4 linked regions of the Saccharomyces cerevisiae S288C genome follow. Changing the gene in region 3 together with the main gene of any one other region gives a genetic interaction. Each region holds a gene or a part of one and is shown on either strand. Other genes may lie near its edges. The genes, in order: PPA2, ACF2, BCD1 and ENV7.

The links.
Region 1: mutations in BCD1 (region 3) and PPA2 together harm fitness more than expected from each alone (negative genetic interaction), as found in Saccharomyces cerevisiae (one large-scale study listed by BioGRID).
Region 2: mutations in BCD1 (region 3) and ACF2 together harm fitness more than expected from each alone (negative genetic interaction), as found in Saccharomyces cerevisiae (one large-scale study listed by BioGRID).
Region 4: mutations in BCD1 (region 3) and ENV7 together harm fitness more than expected from each alone (negative genetic interaction), as found in Saccharomyces cerevisiae (one large-scale study listed by BioGRID).

What each region holds. Positions count from the first base shown.
Region 1 is NC_001145.3:798,717-804,382, reverse strand, and holds PPA2 (inorganic diphosphatase PPA2), read right to left. Parts: upstream 2,612-5,666; coding exon 1,679-2,611; downstream 1-1,678. Other genes in the region: U6 snRNP complex subunit PRP24, read left to right, coding at 161-1,495; RSN1 (Rsn1p), read right to left, coding at 3,004-5,666. UniProt on the Saccharomyces cerevisiae protein: Involved in energy production. Its activity is stimulated by uncouplers of ATP synthesis.
Region 2 is NC_001144.5:426,689-433,797, forward strand, and holds ACF2 (endo-1,3(4)-beta-glucanase), read right to left. Parts: upstream 5,329-7,109; coding exon 2,989-5,328; downstream 1-2,988. Other genes in the region: DPH6 (diphthine--ammonia ligase), read left to right, coding at 641-2,698; RMP1 (Rmp1p), read left to right, coding at 5,480-6,085; SPE4 (spermine synthase), read right to left, coding at 6,135-7,037. UniProt on the Saccharomyces cerevisiae protein: Cleaves internal linkages in 1,3-beta-glucan.
Region 3 is NC_001140.6:186,349-189,524, reverse strand, and holds BCD1 (Bcd1p), read right to left. Parts: upstream 1,602-3,176; coding exon 501-1,601; downstream 1-500. Other genes in the region: SRB2 (Srb2p), read left to right, coding at 1-394; VMA10 (H(+)-transporting V1 sector ATPase subunit G), read left to right, coding at 1,846-1,848, 2,011-2,352; MSC7 (meiotic recombination directing protein), read left to right, coding at 2,716-3,176. UniProt on the Saccharomyces cerevisiae protein: Required for box C/D snoRNAs accumulation involved in snoRNA processing, snoRNA transport to the nucleolus and ribosome biogenesis.
Region 4 is NC_001148.4:101,108-104,767, forward strand, and holds ENV7 (putative serine/threonine protein kinase ENV7), read right to left. Parts: upstream 1,596-3,660; coding exon 501-1,595; downstream 1-500. Other genes in the region: SUI3 (translation initiation factor eIF2 subunit beta), read left to right, coding at 1-246; RVB2 (RuvB family ATP-dependent DNA helicase reptin), read left to right, coding at 2,125-3,540. UniProt on the Saccharomyces cerevisiae protein: Serine/threonine-protein kinase involved in vacuolar processing and morphology.

The sequences.
Region 1 (5,666 bases), on a different chromosome or scaffold from region 3:
AGTGCATCAATGTCTTTTTTAAAGTCATCGCTAAAAAATTTTCAGGCGGGAACTTATTCAAAATGGCAGATTTACTACAACATTGAAAACCCTTTATATTTATTATATGAGAATCATTAGCGATAAACAAGCCCACATATTCACTTCATAATCTGTGATAATGGAGTATGGACATCACGCTAGACCAGATTCAAAACGACCATTGGATGAAGGATCACCAGCAGCCGCAGGATTAACTTCTAAGAAGGCGAACGAAGCTTTAACAAGAAATAGAGAATTAACAACTGTATTAGTCAAAAATTTGCCTAAGAGCTATAATCAAAACAAAGTCTATAAGTACTTCAAACATTGTGGGCCCATTATACACGTTGATGTTGCGGATTCGCTGAAGAAGAACTTTCGTTTTGCACGTATTGAATTTGCCAGGTATGATGGAGCCCTCGCTGCAATAACCAAAACACACAAAGTTGTAGGTCAGAATGAAATTATAGTATCTCATTTAACAGAATGCACATTATGGATGACGAATTTCCCCCCAAGTTATACTCAAAGAAATATTAGAGATCTATTGCAAGATATTAACGTTGTTGCACTCAGTATACGGCTTCCCAGTTTACGATTCAATACAAGCAGAAGGTTCGCTTACATCGATGTTACTTCTAAAGAGGATGCAAGATATTGTGTAGAAAAATTGAATGGACTCAAAATAGAAGGTTATACTTTAGTTACTAAAGTTTCCAATCCGCTGGAAAAGTCGAAACGGACCGATTCTGCCACACTAGAGGGGCGAGAGATTATGATACGAAACCTAAGTACAGAATTGCTCGACGAAAACCTTCTGAGGGAATCTTTTGAGGGATTTGGTTCCATTGAAAAAATCAACATACCTGCTGGACAGAAAGAGCACAGTTTCAATAACTGTTGTGCATTTATGGTTTTTGAAAATAAAGATTCTGCTGAAAGGGCACTTCAAATGAATAGAAGTTTGTTAGGTAATAGGGAAATTTCCGTTTCCTTGGCTGATAAAAAACCATTCTTAGAAAGAAACGAAGTCAAAAGACTTCTCGCATCGCGTAACAGCAAAGAACTAGAAACACTAATATGCTTATTTCCACTTTCAGATAAGGTGTCACCAAGCTTAATCTGCCAATTTCTTCAGGAAGAAATACACATCAATGAAAAAGATATTAGGAAAATACTTCTCGTTAGCGACTTCAATGGCGCCATTATTATATTTAGAGATAGTAAGTTTGCAGCAAAAATGCTAATGATACTAAATGGATCTCAATTTCAGGGAAAGGTGATACGTTCAGGTACTATTAATGACATGAAAAGATATTATAACAATCAACAGAATCACAGCATGAAACACGTCAAACCTAGTTGTATAAACATGATGGAAAAAGGACCAAATCTTCAAGTAAAGAAAAAAATTCCTGACAAACAAGAGCAGATGTCCAACGACGATTTTCGCAAGATGTTTCTAGGTGAGTAGACTAACCGAACCGGAGAAAGACGAACTTCTAATAGGATGTCATTTTAGCAGTGAATATAAACCCAAGTTTCTTTCCAAACGTTCACATACATCAAGCAGCCAACATTCGAGAGAGCAGAGATTACGTAATTATATACAAGGAACCTTTATCTAAACATTTTCTTCGAAGGTATTATTTTCATATTAAACGTAATACCATTTTTGCACCTCAGGCGGTATTTGAGAAGGGGGTTTAACACTATCTTCAAGTGTGACACCATTACCAGCCCTTTCTGTATTAGGCAGGTTGTCATACTTCTCCTGGAGTGATCCTGAAATGAGGTTTTTCCACGAATTGTGACATTTCTTTATAGTTTGGATGGTTTTATTGGAATTTTGATACTGTTCATGAAAGGCGAAACTATTTAATGGCTTCCCTGCTGGAACTTTATACTTTCTAAACCACTCCCTAGTCGTATCTAGAATCCCAGGAAAGTACTCCTCAATTTTTTCCAAGTCATCTATTTTAGAGGATAAAGGATCATTTACGTCGATCACTATGACCTTCCAATCCAATTCTCCATCATCAATTAAAGCGAGTGATCCTAATACCTTGACCTTTTTAATGGAACCCATTTCCAAAACATCCGAACCGATTTCGCAACAATCAAGAGGATCATTGTCACCTTTCAAAGCCACGTCACACTTCCCCAGTTTATGTTCAATTGTGGGATCTTCCCATGTTTGGGGAATAGCACCATAGTTGTGTATATAGCCGTGATAGGGAAAGATATTGTTCACGAACCTAAGCTTGCCATTCTTCGTATCTTGAACGATCGGATTGAACCTAAGTTCTTTGGATATTTCAAATTTTCCAGTTGTCCATCTTGGTACTTCAACAATCATATTTACGGTCTTTTCATGTTCATTCAAATCTAAAGGGACATCATGGAAAAAAGAACCAACCTCTCCATTTAATAATGTCAAGTATTTCTTAAACCCGAGGGTATATTTGCTGCCTTGTTGAATGGTGCTGAATTGTCTATGATTACGAATGGATAAAATATTCAATGTTTGTTTTAACCGTTCTATTGACCTAGCCTTGCTTGTTAAAGCATTCATTCGTAATAAATTCATGTTTTTCAGTAACTTCTCTAGAAGGGAATTTGCTTTTCACGCATACAAGCGAATCAAAGTTTCCAATTGAATGTACTCCCTATTAGTGCTGGTTAAATTAGCTGACTGCTCCGTATTACTGTGCGGAGTTCCTTTTATCCAATATTCAAACCTCATAGATTGCCAAAAACAAAAAAACTTTGCATAAAAAAAAACAAAAAGGGTTACTATACACGATGAATGATTAGACTATACACTATTATATAAGAAATGATTAGAATCATATTTTAAATGTATTAAAAGAATATATGCACGTCCTTTTCCTCTCCTTTTCTTAGTAAAATTACAATTCAACCATCAGAGGATAACAGCTAAACAAATAGGAATAGATAATTTCTGATAATGTTTAACCTTTAGACTGCCGAACGACTCTCTTCTTCCTTATACTTTGGGTCCGCAAATGGATTATTTTCCTTACTAGCTGTGTCAAATTCGCCATTTGCTTCACCATTTGCTTCGTCTTTAACATCATTATATGGTGGTGGTACGTCACGCAGAGTAAATTTCAAATTCTCATCGATGGTAGCATTTTCATCGTTCATTTCAACAACGCCAGAAACGTCTGAAATCAACAATTTGGAAAATCCAAAAGGATCGCGAGGAATCCACAATTCGGGGCATTGTGCACTAACAGCTGGATAATCGTAAGCATGAGAGATATCGAAATCATTGACTCTTTCATCAGGATCAACCAAACCATATATTTCTGGCAGTCTGCTCTTTACAGCCTTATAGGAGTAGTAAATGTGAGGTTTTAAGAATCTCTTCCACCATGGAGCCGGAGGAATTTTCATTGTATCACCATCTGCTAATAATGGCACGTCCTCAATTAAATTTTCTGCATTTATAGCGTGCCCATCTGCATTGGCTTCATTTGCTGGGTTGAATTGATATTCGAATGTATTTTCACTAAATATGCTATTTTCAACTTGTTGCTCAGTGACTGATTCACTCCTCTTGTGATATTTCTTTATTGGAAATTCAGGTAATTCTTTGATTCCGTCCATGTCAATATTTGCACCAAAAGTATTTTTCTTCACCTTTGTACTTTCTATGCCTTTATAAATATTTTTGAAAGAAGGTGTATCTGATACACCATCTAACGGTTTCATGGTATCAACGGGTATAACCTTTGATAAATGATCAAATGCAGCGCTCAAATGTAAATGAATAAGGACGGTAACACAAATTCCAATTACCTGTAAAACGATTGGGCCCCAACCTTTACCAACGGCAAAAAGACCTAATAGACATATCTGACCGATGTAGATACCAACTATAGTTTGGAAAAGAGCTCTTGGATAATAAATACCCCTTGCGTCGGGTGATTCCTGATAGACATAAGTCAAATTGTATAAATATGCAATATACAATAGGAAAAACGCGACGGCAGCAAATAATAAAATCAACGGAGAAATGATGGAGTAGGAGAAAGTAATAACTGCCAAGTTTGTATAAACTGGAAAAGCTGTCCCCCACTGCATACTGGATAGCCCACAAAAACGATTCCATTTCTTCCTAACGGTACCATCTAAAAAGGCACCTAAAACATAAAAGAGTATTAGTGGAACAATTTGCAAAAGAGCACCTGATGAAATGGACAGACCTTGTAGAATAACGTATGACATGAAAAAATTAGAAGCTTTTGGCAGATTAGAAGCCAGTAGATCCATAGCCTTCGTGGGCTCTTTAACAATTTCCGTTACTGTGGAAGTGGCGGCGGAGGATAGAGTGGTAACTAAAAAGACTTGGATAACTTGAAAGGCGAAATAAGCTTGTTGAGTGAAATATTCCACATTTTGCTTAGATGGAGCACCTTGAGTGATAGCCATACCCCTAATAAATTTCGGCAAGAAACTCATTAAAACGGCCAATGCCACAGTTGGGGCCAGAGATGTCAGTAAACCTAATAGTTGTTTTGGTAATTTATAGATGAACTTTAACCATTTAACTTCATTAGTCAAGGAAGTAATATTAGAGATCATACCAACAAAAGCCACTGGGAAAGCCCATAATATTACTAGCGCGACAATTGCTGAAACCGCACTGACTTCCCTACCTAATCTTTCCCACCAGAACATCCTCAAATTAAACCAAACGACATCGGATGGCTCAATACCAATATACACAGGCGTCATGAAAAGAGGAGCATGGTATGTGGTGATCTGAGCGGCAACTTGGGCCTGATATTGGGATTCAAACTCCACAAAAACGGAGTTGAAAGGGGATGAATTTTCATGATCTTCTTGTAATGCCTTCACCTTTTGGTTTAACTTGGGCAACTCCTCCTTAATGTAGGATATGGTGTCAACTTTTTTACCAAAAAAGAATTTAGCAACCTTGTTAATTTTATGATGTGGTCTTTTCTTGTCAGGGACATATTCAGCAATATTATCAGAGACAGATAATTGCGGACTTTTTTTGTTTAACTTCTTAATTTTTTTCAATGCTGCTTTCAGGTATTTTGTTTCAGCACCTTCCAATTGTATGGCCATATTGTCCCTTGCTTTGACCATTGCTTCAATTGAACCGGAACCTCTTGCGATCCAGACTCTTTTCACACCATCAAACAACTTAGAAAACTCTTCTTCACTTAAGTATTGCTTAGGGACAGTCTGGAATAACACGGTTCTCGAGGATAGTTTTTTAGCATAACGAGGGGACGCTAGTACAGCTTGCTTCATAGAGGTGTAAAAATACAATTCTCTGTAAATAATGTAAAGGAACCCCCAAAAGAAAATCCATCCACAGAAAACATGTGCAAAATATCTACCACGGTGCTTGACGTTCTGATAGGCCAATTGATTCAATCCGCTTTCATGGTTACCGTTACTGGCGTTAATGGACAACAAAATAGGGAATATATAACTCATGGAAACAGCACAGTAAATTGCAATGATGAAAAGGTACCTCAAAAAGAAATATCCATCCAGACCGGCTTGTTGAATGACAAAATTGTCTGATTTTTTCAATAACGGCTTCAGCCATTGCCAGACGCCCTGCGGTAGCGGTTCTG
Region 2 (7,109 bases), on a different chromosome or scaffold from region 3:
AATTCTGATGTTCTAGTTATACATATTATATATAAGTAATGATAATAACACTAATAGTAAAGTAAACGCACGGATATCAAGAGTTAATATACTTGAACCACTTAAATAACAATCTGTTGGTAAAGCTTTCTTCCTATTGATTATGGGTTCGAATAGTACCAGATGTTTTGCCAATCCTAAATCGGTAGGAAAGTGGCTTGTCGTCGTCAGGCTTATTATCAACTCTTATGCACAAGAAAGGTACTCATCTTCTATAAACTACATAAGACCTGAATCTAATCAAAGGGAGAAAGCGCAGAACATCAGATTTAAAGCGGTTTTGCTTGATACACTCAGCCTTGTCTCTTTGTAAGGATTTTGGGGTACCTATGAATAATACATCTAGTAGTGTTAGTAAACCAACGTATGGGATTTTGGGATACATAGTTTTCCAGTGTTTCTTATCCGTGATAGTTTAATGGTCAGAATGGGCGCTTGTCGCGTGCCAGATCGGGGTTCAATTCCCCGTCGCGGAGAATTTTTTTAAGCTTCTATTAAAGAAGCTTTTTTTCACTTATATCTGATGGATGATGAATAGCTAGTTCAAACGGAAATCTTTGATAAAGCTATATCAAAATTCAAAGCCCAATAAGTCAGTATCATGAAGTTTATAGCATTAATATCAGGTGGGAAGGACTCGTTCTACAATATTTTTCACTGCCTGAAGAACAACCATGAATTGATTGCCCTGGGAAATATATACCCAAAAGAATCAGAAGAGCAAGAATTAGACTCTTTCATGTTCCAAACAGTAGGACATGACTTAATAGACTATTATTCTAAATGTATTGGTGTTCCACTATTTAGACGCTCAATATTACGGAACACTTCTAACAACGTCGAGTTGAATTATACTGCTACTCAGGATGATGAAATTGAAGAACTATTTGAACTTCTAAGAACTGTCAAAGATAAAATTCCAGATTTAGAAGCTGTTAGTGTAGGTGCCATCTTATCGTCTTACCAGAGGACCAGAGTGGAAAATGTTTGTTCCAGATTGGGTCTAGTAGTGCTAAGCTATTTATGGCAAAGGGATCAAGCCGAACTAATGGGTGAAATGTGCCTTATGTCCAAGGATGTTAACAATGTTGAAAACGATACTAATTCAGGAAATAAATTTGACGCCAGGATAATCAAGGTGGCAGCAATTGGATTGAACGAGAAACATTTAGGAATGTCCTTGCCTATGATGCAACCGGTGTTACAGAAACTTAACCAACTTTATCAAGTTCATATCTGTGGAGAGGGTGGGGAGTTTGAGACAATGGTCTTGGATGCCCCTTTTTTCCAACATGGATACTTGGAATTAATTGATATTGTCAAATGTAGCGATGGTGAAGTTCACAATGCAAGGTTAAAGGTAAAATTTCAACCGCGTAATTTGAGCAAAAGTTTTTTACTCAACCAATTAGATCAATTACCTGTACCTTCGATTTTTGGTAATAATTGGCAAGATTTAACCCAAAATTTGCCAAAGCAACAAGCTAAAACAGGAGAACAAAGATTTGAAAATCACATGTCGAATGCTCTACCACAAACGACAATCAATAAAACCAATGATAAGTTGTACATCTCTAACCTACAATCACGTAAAAGTGAGACGGTCGAGAAGCAAAGTGAAGATATTTTTACTGAGCTAGCCGACATTCTGCATTCCAACCAGATTCCACGGAATCATATTTTATCTGCGTCATTATTAATTAGAGATATGTCTAATTTCGGAAAAATCAACAAAATATACAATGAATTTTTAGATTTGTCAAAATACGGACCTTTGCCACCATCAAGAGCATGCGTAGGTTCGAAGTGCTTGCCAGAAGATTGTCACGTACAGTTATCAGTTGTTGTTGATGTAAAAAATACAGGCAAAGAAAAAATCAACAAGAATAAGGGCGGACTACATGTTCAAGGCCGTTCATATTGGGCTCCATGTAATATCGGACCATATTCCCAAAGTACTTGGTTAAACGATGATGCAAACCAAGTCAGTTTTATCAGTGGGCAAATCGGACTAGTACCGCAGTCAATGGAAATATTAGGAACACCTCTCACTGACCAAATAGTTTTGGCATTACAACATTTTGATACTTTGTGTGAAACAATAGGAGCTCAAGAAAAGTTACTCATGACATGCTATATTTCAGACGAATCGGTTCTCGACTCTGTCATCAAAACATGGGCGTTTTATTGTTCAAATATGAATCATAGATCAGATCTATGGATGGACAAATCTGATGATGTTGAAAAATGCCTAGTTCTTGTAAAGATTTCTGAATTACCTAGAGGCGCTGTTGCAGAATTTGGTGGTGTTACTTGTAAGAGATTAATAGTGGACGATAATGATTCCGACAAGAAAGAAAGGGAAGAGAATGATGATGTTTCAACCGTATTCCAGAAATTGAATTTGAATATTGAAGGTTTTCATAACACTACAGTTAGTGCGTTTGGATATAATAGAAACTTTATTACGGGATTTGTAGATAGTAGAGAGGAGTTAGAACTTATCTTGGAAAAAACCCCAAAATCAGCCCAGATTACCCTCTATTATAATCCCAAAGAAATCATCACTTTCCACCATCACATTGGATACTATCCGGTGGAGAAACTTTTTGATTACCGTGGTAAAGAACACCGCTTTGGGTTGCATATTCGTTCCTAACTCCAAATGTAGGCCTTATATTTTATAAACTTAATAGATATACGCTGTCCACGCTCCTGGCGGTGTAAATGATAGACAGATCCCAAATATGTTAGCAAATCATAGGAACAACACCATATTGTGAACACGTAAAATTTAGAATACGCCGCACAATTAAGGTGTGTTCTGTAATAATTTGATTATTGATGATGGTTTAGGAACCAATATTCATATAAAAAAATGATCATTCTATAAAATACCTTATCGTAACACTTGTACCATGCTACTAACACTGTATATATTTCTGACCCCTAAGAAAAAGCACCTGAATAAGCTAAAGACCAAGTTAAGCTTTGCCCATTGTCTAGGAAATTTCTGTTGAAATCAGGTTGGCTGAAAAAGTCGTACGAAAATTTTGGATCAAGCAGAGCCATATTTAACATGATTATTCCTTTCCAACCGTCATTCACTTGATCAATTATCGGCTGCATTTTTTCTTCCCACTCCTCTTTGACAAAATTTGGTGTTCTGACCCATGAAGATGCTGATGTTATAGGAATGGCGTGAATCATATGAATGTATTGAGGCTCCATGCCAAAATACGTGGCGTGATCAATTTTATTTTCGAATAAAATACCACTAACTTTATTACCAATAAATTCTTTCGGTTGGACAGTATTATTGCTTTCGTATAGGAAGTAGCTCTGGAAAACATTTCTCATGATGCCGAGTTGTAAGTTCGCTATGTCAGTTAACTTAGAATTTCCAGTTACCAACCCCCACAATTTTATCGCATAGCAAGAATTGACATCTTCTGAAGTAGATTCTTCATCTTTACCGTCACCACTTGGAAATAGTCCTTTGGCCCATGAATGGCCATTAAACCAATCAAATGACCTAAATTGAGGGAAGTACGGATCATCGTTGTCAACACCAGAGTAATCTCTAATTAAGCACTCAACCCAATCTCTATTATTTTCTAACCAGGAGTTGTTAGTAACTCCACTTAAATCAGAATCGACTAAAGAGATAATGGCAGCCGTTATGACATGATAAGAGTAATGAAAATGATGATCATTATAATAAGAGTTACCAAAGTCTTGGCTAGAAGAGCCTGATGAAATTATGCCTTTCCAACTAACGTCGTAATTTAAAGGTAAGACTTGCTGATTGCTGATGAATCTCTCCATTGCAATAGTCAGTTTAGATAATAATTCTTTTGTTAAATTTTCATCATGAAGGATGTAATGTGTCACATAAAGAATCCACGCATACTTTGCAAGTATCTTACCAGAGAAATACATAGAATCTATGTTTGATTCTTGTTGAGGGTCACTCAATTGAACTTCTTGAACAGCAGCTTCCCGAATTTTAGATAGCTTTTCTTGACTGTAATCTGCCTTCTTATTCAAAGATAACGCGACAGGTTCAAAGCCCAATTCTTGAGGTACTTGAACCTGCATATCAAAACTGTTTGTGAGATAACCAGTCATTAAGCCTTTAACTGTGGAATCCAGGCTTGAGGCAATTTCACGTTCCTGCATTTCTGGTGTGAATGCCGCTTTATGATGTGGTAAAGCATACATTAGAGTAGTTCCAGACTGCGAGTAGCCTGCAACCGTATAGTTAAATCTGTAATTTGTGAAATGTTCATCAACAGTTTGCCCTGATAGGTCACAGTATACTGGATAACAGCCCGCTGCCATGTCAATACTGGGGACGGAGTCTGCAGATAATTGACAGATAAGACCATTGATTTTATGAGATGATATTATTGTATTGCTGTCGAGTAATGAAATTTGAAAATCTTGTGGAAAAGAGTAATCAGGTGAGGTCAAATAAAGTATCCAATTCCTATTATTCTCAAGTTGTATATTATATTTACCATATCTTTCATTCACGCTTATGCGCTCTAAGCTCCTGAAACCAACGGCGCTTCTTAATTCAAAACCCAAATCGTGGTAAATAGCCGTGACAAAGCCCATCCCCTGAACCAGCGGGAATTCTATAAACTGGGAACTACTCAAAGACATTAGTAAGCACATGGACATATGTTTCATATCCCGGAATTCAAGCTTGATATCATTTGAAGAGACAAATTCCCTGGCCTTGAATACAAATGATTTTATATTTGTGGGATTGAAGTAGAATCTGGGAGGATTTGTAGTTGTATCAAAAACCCTTTGAGACGCTAAAGTATGATTGGCGGCCAAACCAAACAATTCTGGATCACGAGAAAACCAAATTGAATAAGGATGTGTCCATATAGGTTGTGTATTATCGTCTAATAACATGTTTGTGTAGAACTTGTTTGTCTCCAATGGATCAACAGATTGATCATCAATATTCGGCTTTGGTACCGGGTGTTGAACTTTGTTGAAGACGGAAGGAGGAGCTTTTAAGTTAGAAAGGACAGGTGATTGAAAAATATTGTCACTATTCACCTGGCTGTCAGCTAAAGGGTTAGAACTGCTTGGTGTGCGCAGTGATTCACCTGCCACCCTATTTTCTCGAGGTTTACTGGAGTTCTCAGAAGAACAAACTGGTGGCTGAACATTTGCGCGAGGTGGTAAGGGAGGAGGTCCTCTATTGGTAGTACCGCCAGGTCTATTAGGAACAGGTGGAGGAATGGCTTGCCTACTGTAACACATCTTTTTACTTCTCGTATTTATTTATTTTTGTTTTTATGATACTAGCACTTTTCAGAAATTCATGAATTTTATTTATGGTTCCAAGAAAAAAACTTCAAAGAAATGAGTACTAGAATGATATATCCACAAAAAAAAAAAGAGCAGAAACAAAATGGATGAGATGGATAATGTGATACGATCTCTGGAGCAAGAATATCGGTTAATATTGCTCTTGAACCATAGGAACAAAAATCAACATAGAGCGGCTAGCTGGTATGGATCGTTCAATGAGATGAAAAGAAATTGTGGACAAATAATAACGCTTTTTAGCTCGAGAAGATTACAAGCCAAACGCCTTAAAGATGTTGAATGGGTCAAGTTGCACAGGCTATTACAGAGAGCACTTTTTAGACAGTTAAAGAGATGGTACTGGCAGTTCAATGGCGTAATTGCGCTGGGACAATTTGTAACGTTGGGTTGTACACTAGTAACATTGCTGGCAAATGTGAGGGCACTGTATATGAGATTATGGGAGATTAATGAAACTGAGTTTATAAGATGTGGATGCTTAATAAAGAACTTACCGAGAACAAAAGCAAAATCGGTTGTGAACGATGTCGAAGAACTTGGAGAAATTATAGATGAAGATATTGGCAACAACGTTCAAGAAAACGAACTAGTGATAACGTCTATACCAAAGCCTCTGACAGAGAACTGTAAGAAGAAAAAGAAAAGGAAAAAGAAGAACAAATCAGCCATTGATGGCATATTCGGATAAATATACAAGTAAATAGACTTTTTAAAATAATAATATCAATGCTAATAAATCATTCATTAATGACCTTGTCTGCCCAAGTAGGCAAAACAAACGCACTAGAATGTATTTGAGGATTATAGTACTTCAGCTTCCCTTGTTCTTGCTCAGATATCTTTCTTTGCGGAATGTTCAACGGTATATTGGCGTTATTACTGCAAACAATTAAACCTAATTGGCCAGATGTATAGGTTGGAACCATGGTATAGCAATATTCTGTATTAGGAAATACCTTTTTGGCTGTATTTTTCAAATCATGTAAGTATTTTAAATTTAACCAAAAATTTTCAGAGCTTTGCATAATAACAACGCCATTAGGATTTAAAGCATCTTTCAATAGTTCGAAATACCTCTCTTGAAAAAACGCTTCAGCTGGACCTTCAGGATCAGAACTATCTGTAATAATGACGTCAAATTTCTTATGGACGTCGGAAGCACCTATATCTTGTAAGAACTTGAAGCCATCGCAAAGTTTCAAGTCCAACCTTTCGTCATCGAAAGCACCATTACTCAATGTGGGCAAGAACTTACGGGATAATTCGATCACTGATGAGTCAATTTCTACCATAGTGATATCTTCTACACAGCTGTGCTTGGCTACTTCCCTTAAGACACCTCCGTCCCCACCGCCAATGATAAGTACACGCTTGGGATTAGAATGCGCAAACATGGCAATGTGGGTGATCATCTCTTGATAGGCAAACTCATCAAATTCCGTACATTGGACAATACCATCGAGGACCAAAACAGTACCGTATACCTTGTTACGGAAGATTAAGATGTCCTGAAATTCACTGCGGGCTTCATAAAGTATTGAGTCCACGGTCATAGTAAAGGCCTGGCCCGGAAAACTTTTATCATTAATCTCTCTAAACCATCCATCTTTGATGTAAGGATGCTGTGAATTATTAACCATAATGTATAACTGAATCTGTCACTTTATCCTGCCTGTCTCATCGGCGTTTTGATATTTTATTTTTAACTAAAA
Region 3 (3,176 bases):
GACTGCCGCAGCGGCGGATATCCCTCCGGCGCTGGTGTTCAATGGCTCATCTACGGGCGTTCCTGAGTCCATAGACACTATTTTGTCGTCCAAGCTGTCCAACATCTGGATGCAGAGGCAGCTCATCAAGGGTGATGCCGGTGAGACGTTGATCTTGGACGGGCTCACCGTGCGACTCGTCAACCTCTTCTCCTCCACTGGGTTCAAGGGTCTCCTGATAGAACTGCAGGCGGACGAAGCGGGCGAGTTTGAGACCAAGATTGCAGGCATCGAAGGACACCTAGCTGAAATCCGGGCCAAGGAGTACAAAACCTCATCCGACTCGTTGGGGCCGGACACCAGCAACGAAATATGTGATTTGGCGTACCAGTATGTTCGTGCTCTGGAGCTGTGAGTTCTTACGAATGCTTTTTCTTTTTTTTTTTTTCTGTTTGTATATTGCGGTGTATACGTATAGATAGATAGTCTAAATAGTAATCTTCAACCTTATGTATCTCGGCTCATGCAGTGAGGAAATCCATGGATAAGCCCGGATTGTAGTCATCGTCGCTGTCGCTGTCGCTGTCGCTGGCGTCCTGTGTTTCCTTCTGTACAGGTTCTTCTGTCGGTTGAGAGTCCTCTTCAGCGTCTTCCTCCTCCCTTGCATTGTCAATAAACTTGTTCAGTGTACTCGTATGCTCAAGTGGGCGGGGTTCCTGGTGTAGCACCTCGTAGCCCTCTGGTAGGTCAGCCTCTGTCATGGCAACGAATATCGTGGGAAACTCGATCACTGTGGTGTTCTTCAACAATTCTCCGATGCATTTCTCATGTATAGCCAACTCCACCAGTTTTTTTGAATCCATTATATGCGTGGTGTTGTAAGGGAACGTTTTCGTGTAGAATTTGAGCCCACTCTTCTGTAGGATCTGTGTTCTTTCCTCTTTGGTCTCCGAACCGTCTTCGCCCTCTATGCAAGAGCTTGTTCCAGCCAAGCGATAGAATTCACAGCATTTTTGGAAAACGTTCTTGCCCATCCCTTGCACCAAAAAGTCTGTCTCTTTGATACGGTGGCTGACATGTTTGAAAAGCTCCTTTTTCTCACCCTTTTCCTGCATAGGACATAGAATCCACTCCACGCTCCATACAAATAGGTCCATCGTTTTGTCCCACTTGCTCCTGTTTTGCGATGATCGCTGCATCCCCTTGGGTAGCATCAAACAGTTCACCCCCCTCCTAATTATCCTCTGACACTCCGTGCTATCACGATCATCCTCATCTATATCGTATCTTCTCTTCTTGAAATTAGAGTTGTGGCCGCCCACAGGCCCCAGAACCCGCTTGTTCTTCATTCTAGCATCCATCTTTTGTACATGCACCATTCGCTTCAACTGCGTCAGATAGTTGTAGTCCCTCTGGACATAAGCATTTCGTTCGTGCTTGTCGTCGTCCGCCTGTTTCAACGCCTCACTCGATATATACTCCTTAGGATCATGTGTTTGACCTGAGCAATTGTCCCTTGTCTTGTGCTTCTTGGAACACTCCAAAGAGCAAGTTTGCACCAAACATCTTGGACACTTGTATTTGAACTCTTTTATTCCGCATACACCACACAACACCGCCATACTTGCAAATTGCCACACCCTTCCCTATTAACTGGACTCCTATTCCAGCTCATCTCATCGAATATGAACTTTGACATCCACTATTATTACCGCGAATTTTTTTTTTTTTCAATTTGTTACCCTGCCTTGGGTATCAAAAATTTCATCTCTAAAAGGGAGCGTGATAGATAAAGCAATCACACCTTAAACAATACATTTTTTTTTTTCCTGCAATCTCCAAAGTGTGCAAGGTATACAAAGCAGAATGGTATGTGCCATTACATTACGTGTCAACACTTCTGTCTCTAACAAGCGTTCTTACTAACATGAAAAACTTTTTTAAAACTGTGCTCTCTTGTTGGACTGGTACCTCGTGACAAAGGTATTGGTTTTTTCATTGTTGCTCAGAACTATGTAATATTCTCTTTAGTCCCAAAAAAACGGAATTGCCACCCTACTACAAGCTGAAAAGGAAGCCCACGAAATAGTATCAAAGGCTAGAAAGTACAGACAAGATAAGTTGAAGCAAGCCAAGACTGATGCAGCCAAGGAAATCGACTCATACAAAATTCAAAAAGACAAGGAATTGAAGGAGTTTGAACAAAAGAATGCCGGTGGTGTTGGTGAATTGGAAAAGAAAGCAGAGGCTGGTGTGCAAGGTGAATTAGCTGAGATTAAGAAAATTGCAGAGAAGAAAAAGGATGACGTTGTCAAAATTTTGATCGAGACTGTCATCAAGCCTTCTGCTGAAGTCCATATCAATGCCTTGTAATATTGCATTACATTCTAGTTTTCTAATCATATATCTTTTTATAATATAATACCAATAGAATAAAAATGTATAAACTGACATTGCATTCGGTCTTTACGACTCTCGCTTTATCCATTCAGCCTTTTTTTTTTTTTTTTTTTTTTCTCTATCTGCTAAACGAGTAGTAGTATAATCAAAAATGTGTTATTTAGTATATCGGTTGTAAAGGAGAAAGTATGGTCTCTCTATTTTTATTTTATTAACGAAAAATACTAAACGCCGATGGGGATTACTATATAATTATAATAGTATTTGCAGAATAGTAGAATTCTTTTCACAGTTCACGTTCAGTTTCTCCTCTGTTTTATCGAACGTTTATTCATCATGTCCAAGGTCTATCTGAATTCAGACATGATTAACCATTTGAACTCCACAGTTCAAGCTTACTTTAACTTATGGTTGGAGAAGCAAAACGCAATAATGCGTTCTCAACCCCAAATTATTCAAGATAACCAAAAACTGATAGGCATTACAACGCTAGTTGCCTCAATTTTCACTCTGTATGTTTTGGTCAAGATAATCTCCACCCCAGCAAAGTGTTCCTCGTCCTATAAGCCAGTCAAATTCTCCCTTCCTGCACCAGAGGCCGCTCAAAATAATTGGAAGGGCAAGAGGTCTGTTTCCACTAACATATGGAATCCTGAAGAACCAAACTTTATTCAATGTCATTGTCCCGCCACAGGTCAATATCTAGGTTCTTTTCCATCGAAAACGGAAGCTGACATAGATGAAATGGTTTCTAAGGCAGGCAAAGCTCAATCTACTTGGGGCAATTCTGATTTCTC
Region 4 (3,660 bases), on a different chromosome or scaffold from region 3:
GTTGACGGTCAGAAAAGATTAGTCATTAAGGGTAAGTTTCAATCCAAACAAATGGAGAATGTCTTAAGAAGATACATTTTGGAGTATGTCACTTGTAAAACTTGTAAGAGTATTAACACCGAATTGAAGAGAGAACAGTCAAACAGACTGTTCTTTATGGTCTGTAAAAGTTGTGGTTCTACCAGATCCGTCTCTTCTATTAAAACCGGTTTCCAAGCTACCGTTGGTAAGAGAAGGAGAATGTGATGTTGGTGCTTTACCTGTTAGCATATATATAATAAATACGGATTTCGTTTATCTTGTGTATTTTATTCGTTTCATTAGATATTTAATGTTTAAATGAAGAAAAACTTAAAGTAAAAATTTTCATTCACAAAATAAATCTAAACAGCGGTAGGTAATCTTCATTGATCAGAGTGAACACATTGCATGGAGCCAGCCAATCATCGTGTCCTGTTTACTTCCCAAGGACAGGAAAAAGCTTTGAGAAGCAAAACCGATCAAGTGTCTAAATCTTGTAAAAGATTTAATAATTGGCTGGTAGTAGGCCTTTGTATAGGATCCACTTGAATGCATTTCTTGATTACACTCAAAAGCCCCTCAGAAAATCTGGAATTTCTCGGGAAACTGTACTTACCAGTGTTTATAGCGTAGGTTAAAGAAGCTCCATGTATCTGCTCTTCTCGCTCAAAGGGGGAGATACCGAACATTAAAGTATAGAACGTACAACCCAAAGACCAAATATCAACCTTAGAGCTCAAAACCTGATTTAATTTCAAGTTCAGAAGTTCTGGTGGAGTATATGGCAACGTACAATTGTCATTGACCCATTCTTGTAGTTCGCTGAGTTGATGTCTGTTTTCAATTGTTATATCAGCTTGAGAGCAGGAGCCGAGGTCACCAATTACTGGTAAACCGTCTGAAGAGAACAAAATGTTTGAAGGTGTAATATCGCGATGTGCATATGCTATTGAACCTGCTGAGTTGGAGGAAAGCATGTCCATCTCTAAGGGGGTGTCTTCTAGGAGCATCGCCGTTTCATCGCTATAAGTCATAGAAACCGCATCGACATTTACTCTGGAAGTAGCGTTATCTTGTCTTGACGCAGGATCATGTAAACAAAGTAAACCTCTTGTAACTCCAAGCATTATCCTTACGCATTCTGCCTCTGATACAAAGGTGCCCTCGAGTAACCTCCGATTAATAGAGTCTTGTAAACTCCCTAATGAATAATAGGGTAGTACTATGTAAATTGTTTTTGACCCATCTTTTTCCTGCATTACTTGTGAGTCGATACTTTTTATAACATAAGGACTTTGAAACCGTTTGTAATTTTCAATTTCTCGCATACCATTGGATATACTTTCCACACTAGGACAAATAATCTTCTTTAGTGCGTATAATTCTGGTGTTGCGATGCCGTTGTCTATAATCAGAGAATTCTTTGACAGTTGTACCAAATACACAAAGGACATTCCACCTTCTCCAAGTAGTCGTTGAATCCTATATCGTTTATCATTTACCCTAATAGTAGCATCGGAAAATCCGCGACAGCAGCACAAGTTCTGGAACAATTCCAATACAATAGAAATCATTGATCGGATAAGATGGTACAATCGTTATTTTATCCCTAGTCAGTCGCTGAGATTACAGGCTCTTTTTGTCTACTCTCTGTTTCGTCTTTTTGGAGAAAGTATGGTTCAACATCTTACAAAACCAGATACCGAAAATGTCCCTAACTCGGTGTCATAAGACAGGACTTATCAAAACAGAAAGGATCTTGCAAAAAAGAAAAAGAGCAAATTATGTAAACTTTGGGGGTCAACACAGTTGTATCAGTCGTATTGGTTAGACCCAATATAGCGGTTTTCTTTACTTCTTTGTTTCTACACTTATTAAAGTCTATTTAACTCCCTTTCACGTGATCAGTTTGAAAGAAACGTGAAAATTATTTTTTTCAGCGAACTTTTTGAAGGTTTTCAATAGAAGATGAAAGCTAAATGAAGACTGTACATTCACACGGGAAACGAGAGAAAGAAGTTCAGTTAGTTGAAGCCAGCAATACTACTTTCTCTAGCAGTCTAGCACAAGTTACTTTGAAAGGAAATAAAAAAAATTGTCAGCATGTCGATTCAAACTAGTGATCCAAATGAAACATCAGATTTAAAGTCGTTATCTTTAATTGCTGCCCACTCCCATATTACAGGTTTAGGTCTAGATGAAAACTTGCAACCACGTCCCACATCCGAAGGTATGGTTGGGCAATTGCAAGCCCGTCGTGCTGCTGGTGTGATATTGAAAATGGTTCAAAATGGCACCATAGCAGGTAGGGCTGTTTTGGTAGCGGGCCCCCCTTCAACTGGTAAGACCGCTCTTGCCATGGGTGTTTCCCAGTCTCTGGGTAAAGATGTACCATTCACTGCTATTGCGGGCTCAGAAATCTTTTCTTTAGAATTGAGTAAAACTGAAGCACTAACTCAAGCTTTTAGGAAATCCATCGGTATCAAAATCAAGGAGGAGACAGAATTGATTGAAGGTGAAGTCGTGGAAATTCAAATTGATAGATCTATTACTGGTGGACACAAACAAGGAAAATTGACTATTAAAACTACCGATATGGAAACAATTTATGAATTAGGCAATAAAATGATTGATGGCCTAACTAAAGAAAAGGTATTGGCTGGCGATGTTATTTCTATTGATAAAGCTAGTGGGAAGATTACCAAGCTAGGCAGATCCTTTGCTAGATCTAGGGATTATGATGCCATGGGTGCTGATACCAGATTTGTTCAATGTCCGGAAGGCGAACTGCAAAAAAGGAAAACAGTGGTTCACACGGTGTCACTGCATGAAATTGATGTTATTAATTCAAGAACACAAGGATTTTTGGCATTATTTACTGGTGACACCGGTGAAATTAGGTCAGAGGTAAGAGACCAGATAAACACAAAAGTGGCAGAATGGAAAGAAGAAGGTAAAGCAGAAATTGTTCCTGGTGTATTATTTATCGACGAAGTCCACATGTTGGATATAGAATGTTTTTCCTTTATAAATAGGGCTTTGGAAGATGAGTTTGCCCCAATCGTCATGATGGCTACAAATAGAGGAGTTTCCAAAACCAGAGGGACTAATTACAAATCTCCACATGGGTTACCTCTCGATCTTTTGGATAGGTCAATTATTATTACAACTAAAAGTTATAATGAGCAGGAGATTAAGACAATTTTATCTATAAGAGCACAAGAGGAGGAAGTTGAACTGTCATCCGATGCCTTAGATCTATTGACCAAAACAGGTGTGGAAACTAGTTTGCGTTACAGCAGTAATTTAATCTCTGTTGCTCAGCAAATTGCAATGAAGAGAAAAAACAACACTGTTGAAGTGGAAGATGTCAAAAGGGCTTATTTGCTATTTTTGGACAGCGCTAGATCTGTTAAGTATGTTCAAGAGAACGAGTCACAATATATTGATGATCAGGGCAACGTTCAAATATCCATTGCTAAATCAGCAGACCCTGATGCCATGGATACTACGGAATAAGCATTTTGTACTTTAAGGCAGAAATTGCATCAAATATATATGTATAAATAAAAATTTTATGTTTGCGTGATTGTTGGTGATAAGAAGTAAAAAAGTACACCTAAAATAGGCAGCAGTTGG